2 linked regions of the Mus musculus genome follow. The protein of the gene in region 1 interacts with the protein of each later gene in a pairwise test. Links are inferred from orthologs where the notes say so. Each region holds a gene or a part of one and is shown on either strand. Other genes may lie near its edges.

Region 1 (3,648 bases):
CTCACAAATAAATGCAACATCTTTATTTTTCACAGTTACTAAAATCAGTCAAATATTAAATAATTTAATTACAAAGTATTACATATGCATACAAACTACTTGTAACAGCGTGACCGGTTACTTTCTTGAAAAATGGCAAATTATTATATTTTTATTTACATACTGCCCATAATATTTGATGGGCTTTTTATAGTGCTGGCTCCTAAGTTTAAAAAAAAAAAAGTATATTTGAAAAAACTGAACCAGAACATTGCCACCTAAAAATCACTGTCCTTGTAACAATTGCACTAAGATTTAGCTCTCAACTTCATCTTAAAGAGCATTAGTAACAGGAGATCTACCTATTTAAATATAAGAAATCATGCTTCCATAATAAGAGTATCTTTTACAAATAAACTGTAAGAACACAAAATTTAATTTTTATTCACAACACTGCCATAGTAAATGTAAACTTTTTATAAAAGTTTCTTTTACTTTAGACATGTTCTTCCTTTTAACTGAGACCTTGTCCTAAAGAGCCTTGATCCTTTTTATTGTCAAGTAAATGCACTTAACTTGGAAAACCATGTTAAAGAAATTAGCATTCCCACTGTTTGAAAAACCTTTCCTAAGGTATAGGTAGTTTCCTATTTAGGTCTCAATGTGTTTATGTAAAGGTGACAGGTTTTTCATGTGACTTACGACACTTTACCAACAAAGGATGCACATTACTTAGCCTAAGAAAATGTGTTGAACAAATAAAGGAGCAATTTAGGGCTATGACCTGGGAAATAAACTTAGGCCCAGTCCTGGAAATGGTTCTTATGAGTGAAGATCAAACAACTTTCACAGTTTTATTGTTCTTAATTTAGTTCTGGTCTAATGATCAGGTCCACTTAGGTAACATTTCATTCTCACTGTGCGTTATGCAAAATGCTTTAGGAGAGAGTTATAATAAAATTGTAGAAAAAAATGATTTTCTATGTTTTATGGACCCCAGCACTAAGGATGTTATGCTAAATGTGGAAGTAAAGCAATCCTATTACCCCAATATAGCTTCAATTCTAGTACACAATGGCCAAAAACAATAAAAAGGTGGGGTAAAGCCATACTTCCTTAAGCTCTGTTAGGCACTCCACTGGCTGTTTTTTCACTAAAATAAAGGACCTTCTACTCATTGTCTGTGACCACTTCTCTCTCAATATAAGGACATATATACACTGAAAGTTTCCAATGCCTAATGTACCTTTTAAAAGTGTATATCCAAGAAACCTCCATTTAACCAATGTAACAGGGTCATTTAAATTTGCCACAGAGTACTTTTTAAAAACAATGGTACATTTCTCAGTCCAGGATTCATATATACACATACTAAATTAATTATCACATTTGAGATGTAGAATTTCTTAGAATGCATCACATGCAAAGTAACTGTTAACCATAAGCATGAAACAACTGCTGCATTAAAATCAAGCAACATCCAACACTCCAGCAGCCACAAGTTGCCGGGACAGCCAGTCCAACCCTTCGTAGAGCCCCATTCCACTTCGAGCATCACAGCCCTGAATATACCAACTCCTTCCACAGCATAGTTTATGGAGACTGAGAAGTTCAGTGATTTCTTCTACTGAAAGTGCTCCAGCTACATCCTAAAAAACACATAGAGTGATTTCTATCAATCAAGGAATCATTTTTCTAACTCTTACCAATTGTATAGAAAACTACTGGTAACACTGTGATTGAATCCTAAACAAAACCAAAATTCATTTTCAGATTCTAAGATTAACTAAAAGAATTAAGAAAATGTTTTGGTTAGAATATCTATATATATTAAGGAATAAATAATGAAATCAATCACAGCTATGATAGGGTAGGTGGCGGGGCACCTTTCAGAAGCAAAGGGGAGAACCAGGAAGGGAGGCAACACTTGGAATGTAGATTAATAATTTTTTTTTAAAAATGTTACAAAATAAAGTATTAACTTTTTTATTCTATTCCATGACCAGATCTATTAATCTAGGTTTTCTTCATCCTTTAACTGAATTTAATATATAAGTTAGTTTGATGCTCCCTAAAACTAGCTATGCTACTGTTTCTCTTCCTGTTAATATTATTCCTTCACATATAAACTCAAATACATCTGTAAGTTCAATCCTATCATAATTTAAACTCCAATCATATGACCGAATCCCCCACTATAAACCATTCAAAGGATCAAAACCAAGGCCATGCACATGTTACATGGGACATGTTACATGTTACATGGGAGCACTGCCACTCAGCTCCAGCTTTTCCTATTTCTGAGACAAGGTCTTGATGCATAACTCAGGCTAGCTTTGAGATTGCCATATATGCCAGGCCAATCTAAACTCCTGATCTACCTAAATCCACTTTTACATACTTTAAGATACAACCTAATTTAGAATAGGTCTATCCTTACGTCTCAGCATTCTATTAATATTGTTGAAGTGATGTCCTAATTTATATATATTAGAATATAGCATGAACACACAAGAATGCATTTACTTGATTTGTATGTGCATATACTCTACAATATCGAAGGTAACATTTTCCACAGCAGAAATTTACAAGTATCTATTGATTCTTTGATATCTTCTCAAATGACTTATGATATGGAATATGCAAAACTACCAAAGTAATAAATGTTGATATAAAAATTCATTACCTGTTTGTTAGCAAAAATCAAGAGTAAGGCATCTCGGAGTTCTTTTTCCGTTAACAACTTTGCAAGTTCACTGTGTGCTTCACTAATTCTGTCTCTATGACTACTATCAACAACAAATACAACAGCTACAAAAGTACACAGAAATTTTCAAGTTATTTATTAAGTTTAAGTAAATTAAAAAGTATTAATTGCTTTCATTATTCTTGCTAAATCTTATTTACCCTATCTTCATTTAAAGGCTACCTACCTACTTAATGTCACTACTTAAAGCCTTAAAGCAATAATTCAGGAAGAGTTTAGATAGCTTCACAGGTTCTCCTCCTCTGACAGGTTTTATAAAACTGAATCTACCAAAAAAAAAAAAAAAAAAAAAAAACACCTGTCCCTCAGAACCTGTCCCCTGAAAATGTGCTTAAGATCTCCCTTAAGGCTGCCTGTTCTTTACAAAAGCAGAGTGAGAGCTCTTTAGGGAAAGGCAAACCGCTAGGAGGAAGGAGAAGTGTTAATGATGCATACATATGAAAAATGCCATAATGAAACTCATTACTGTGTATGTTAACTTAAAAAGTTAAAAACAACAACAAAACTGCTGAGTCTGGTAGCCCACACCTTTATTCCCAGCACTCAAGAGGCAGAGACAGATGGATCTTTATGATTTGAGGCTAACCTAGTCTACATAGCAAGCTCAAGGTCAGGTAAGCCTACATACTGTCTCAAAAACGTGAAAAAAAATAGTAGCATAGAAAACTATAATCTTAAGGAATAGAAATATCACCATTATTATAAAATAGGTGTATGTAATACTTCATGGGAGGGGGCACAAAAGTGTAGAATGGAGCCAGGTGTGAAGTAAGTCTAGATGGAACACTGGGATATGTGCCCCTTGGTGCCTAGCCAAAACAAAGCCTCAATAGTCCTCTGGGAGTGCATTAATTATAAATCATGATGTAGTGTTCTTGGACAATTATAGTAGATTAAATGTT
Region 2 (3,874 bases), on another chromosome or scaffold:
GGACAGAGTGGGCTGGAGCTCTGTAACGTCCTTCCCCTAAGTCCTGCGTCAGGGTTAGTGTCTCTGTAGCATATGGCCCAGTTATTCAGTCATTAGCAGGGCAAAACGGAACCATGAAGATCTGAGCAAGGTCAGCATATTGTCACTGCTCTTGCCCCTAACAATCCCCCTTGGTTTTTGCCCCCTCTACATTATATAAAAGTTAAAATTTAAAAGAATTTTTAGCCAGGCTGTGGTGGCAGATACTTTTAATCCCAGCACTCAGAATCTGAAGTCAAGGCAAGCCTGGTCTACAGAGTGAGTTCCAGGCCAGCCAAGGCTACACAGAGAAAAGAGAAACCCTGTCTCGAAAAGCAAACAAATAACAGCAACAACAAAAAGTTTAAAATTTTTTAAAAATAAAATTCTAACAATTCTATACTGGTTTTACATTCTAAGTGGATGCCAAACTAGTATTAAGAGATAGGTGGTCTCAATATATATATATTAAAAAAAAAAAGACTATAGACATAAGACTAGCCAGCTATGGGAGGAGCCAGTGCAATGGCTAATCTTTATTAGAGAGAAGTTTTTCTTTACATTCTGAAAAGATAACACAGGGGCTCAGTGGGCCATTTGGTGGGGCACCAGCTTGTAATGGGTTCCACAGTTGGGGCATCGCTGACTCTCGCCTTTGTGCAGCCAAAACCAGATGACAGTACAGTTGTCCTCTTCACCTGAAAGGGAAAGACGGTTGACAGTCATCCAGCGTCCATGTACAGAGGGAGGCTTTCAGCATTCACCTCTTTCCTACAGACACTTCGGACACAGCAACAAAACTGCCACTGACTAGGAGACCACTTCACGCTCCGCTCCTTCAAATGAAAAAGCGGGGATGCATTTACCTGTGAGTAAGATAACCTTGTATGGGGTCACTGTAGGTTCTAACAATTCCAGTCCCTATGCAAAATTCCAAAACAGGATCTGTACTCATGTGTATCCCTAGTGCTTGAAACAAACAGTACCTGGCATATGTATGTACATACGTGTGTGTGTGTGTGTAAATAATCTGGGCTGGAAAGATAGTTCAGCAATTAAAAGCATGGACTGCTCTTCCAGAGGACCTGAGTTCAATTCCCAGTAGCCACAGCAAAGTGGCTCACAGCCTTGCTTGTAACTACAGCTCCAGGGTCATCTGCCTTCTGTGACTTCTCATGCATACTGAGACTTAAGACAGTCAACAACCCTTACAACAATGTATACACATATTTACATTTTTACACACATACAGTCCATCATACACACATATCTGAAGCAATTTATAGACATTCTGTGAGGCAGGTTATAAACAAATGGGCCAGAAAATAAAAACAAAGTGCTTACAGATGCAGCCCACTATTCTCTTGTTGCTGATGGACGGGACTAGATTAGGGTCTTCCTTGGTGCCTGAAGCTGCCTTTGGAGGTAGCATATTGTATGGGTCCTGAAAGAGACAAGAGTTGACTATTTATGACAGATAACGCCTGCCACTGCACTGCAAAAGGGCCGTTCCTACAAGCTGGGTTGTCAGGACCAGACGCTGGCTGACAGGAACTCCTCTAATCCCATCCAAGCCCCAGGGCTCCAGAGGACACAGCATTTCTCCTTACCAGTCCCTTCTGTGCTGCTATCATGATCTCCCTCTCCAGCCCAGTAGCCTGCTCCTCATCAGTGGGGACACCACCTAGAAGAAGAAAAATGAGCTACGGCAATTGATATGACCACGATGGATACACGATAAAAAGATCAACACGGGAAAGGTGACGTTATCCGCTTCTTTGGTGGGTTCCCAAGCTACCCATTCCCACAGTCCCCTAAGCCCACTGAGGCATGACTCCCAAGCCATACCGTTTTTCCCTTCCCACCGCGGAAGCTTGGTTGTCGACTTTCCCTACAATCAAGTCATGAGAGTATACTGGCTGGTGGCGGGCAAGGGATTTGAATGTTGGTCCAGCGCTTTTTCAGCCCTCCAAGTCCTTGTGTTCCAAGGTCACCCGGCACCTTCCAGTGAGGGCACTTTGAAAGCGGGTTCGATCGGGTGGGCGGCCGAAATTACAGCAAGACCGGACAGAGCGCCGGCTCCCGGAGCCTAAGGTGGTCAGCAGGGCTCGAGAGAACGCTAATGGCCGACCCCGCTCGACCGCCCATCACCAACCACGCCGGAGGCCATGGACACCGGCCTGTCCCGCCCAGCTGGTCACGTACCTCCAGAAGCCATGGAGCGGGTCACGGCCGCGCCACGGGGGCCGTGGGCCCTCAGGGCCTGCGCCGCCAAAGCGCCCACTCCGCGAAGTAACCTTGAAGCCATCTCGCCCGAGACAAGCAGATGCACTTCCGGGAACAGGCTGAGCAAGATGGGCGGGACTTCCGTTGGTGGGAGTCTAACAACGCCCGGTCAGTCTTCCGCTTCCTGCCCCGACCAGCCGAAGCAGCGCTAAAAGTAGACGCCGCACATGCGCAGTTCTGCCTCTTCGTGGGCCGCGCAGACTCCCGCCGCCTCCGGGGCGTGGCGTCAGTCACCCTGACAGCTAGCGGCTTTCGGGTTCATGACCTGTCCGCTTGAGTGTTCGCGCCCAGTGTCCCAGCCACATAGTAGTTCTTGTAGTGGAGGTGCTGTGGAAGCCGAAGTTCCCGCAGTCAAGGGCTTCCACCACGAATCATACAACCTTGGGCGTGAGCTCAGGAAGCCTGTTGTGTTTGTTATGCCTGTTAGCCACGGGTTCGAGACTGCAGACAGCTTTAGTTGTTACCAAATTGTTGCAATGGCCCACTCCGTCAGAAATTGACAGTACACCCCCCCACACACACAGTCTTAGCCTCAATTCCCTCCTCCACTCTGTTTTGTTTTGTTTTTTAAGCACGGTATCACTATGTAGCCTGGCTGACCTTTAACTCCCTATGTAGATCAGGGTGGTCTAAAGCTCACAGAGATCTGGTTACCTCTGCTGGGATTAAAGCTGTTGCACCGTCCTCAGTTTTCCTCCTATAGTAATGTTATGGGAGGTGATGGTGTTGGCCCCAGGGACAAGGATGAGGGGGGTGCGGGGGGTGCGGTGCAGAAGGGCTTTGGAGGCATAGATGTAGGATACCTCCTGATGGCCACTCCACCACGATGAGGATACTAGGAGGAGGAGGGACAGAAAGAAAGTTAATAATGCAACTGGAAATGACAATAGGCACCGTGGCCAGAAGTCTCTAATTTAGACAGAAAACGTCCTCCATTGCTCAGTGTTGCACACAGGTAAAGCCTGACAACTCACGGCAGAGCGTTCACTAGATTTCCAAACACTGGCTTCTTCGATTTATTCTCGTTGTGGAACATTCCTGAAACACTATGGCTGCATACAGTATCTATGCTTCCCTAATTGCGTCCCAGTGATGAAATCTTAAGTACCTTGCAGAGGCCTGACATAATAATATCAAATGACTTTTAGTAAATCCTGCCGCTTGGACCAAAAATATAGTTTATAGAGCTTGTGACTACAAAAGGTCAAGTTGAGGAAAACTACAAAGGACTAAATTCCTGGGTGTTGTCACCTACCCCTTGTAGGTTATTTTCAAAAGGGTCTGGTGGAACATTCCTTCAGAGGAACTAACCTGGTCTTCATGGCTGCCCTCAACCAAGAAAAAAAAATAGCCTATAATGAGGCACCAAATTTCTTGACTGTGAAGATGGGCTTACACTTTGCATAGTTTTCATTTTTACTTCCTTGTCTCCACTACAATCATCTGGATTAATTCCTAATTCAAGGCATCTTTCCTCCAATGAACCCATTATTGATTTGTGTCCACATTAAGAGGGAAAACCCCAGTCAGCCCCATCAGCCAGCTCCACCATCTTTCCTCCTTTAGAGAA

What was found. The genes of interacting proteins can lie anywhere in the genome.
Region 2: the proteins of Trim23 (region 1) and Cox5b interact in binary tests that used the Homo sapiens proteins (3 or more experiments, as listed by UniProt). The two-hybrid records come from large-scale screens. The link is inferred for Mus musculus from reciprocal best matches to the Homo sapiens genes TRIM23 and COX5B.

The regions. Positions count from the first base shown.
Region 1 is NC_000079.6:104,199,211-104,202,858, reverse strand, and holds part of Trim23 (E3 ubiquitin-protein ligase TRIM23), read right to left. Parts: intron 2,791-3,648; coding exon 2,666-2,790; intron 1,629-2,665; coding exon 1,449-1,628; 3' UTR 1-1,448.
Region 2 is NC_000067.6:36,690,039-36,693,912, reverse strand, and holds Cox5b (cytochrome c oxidase subunit 5B, mitochondrial), read right to left. Parts: upstream 2,427-3,874; 5' UTR 2,327-2,426; coding exon 2,224-2,326; intron 1,703-2,223; coding exon 1,629-1,702; intron 1,463-1,628; coding exon 1,363-1,462; intron 717-1,362; coding exon 604-716; 3' UTR 525-603; downstream 1-524. UniProt on the Homo sapiens protein: Component of the cytochrome c oxidase, the last enzyme in the mitochondrial electron transport chain which drives oxidative phosphorylation.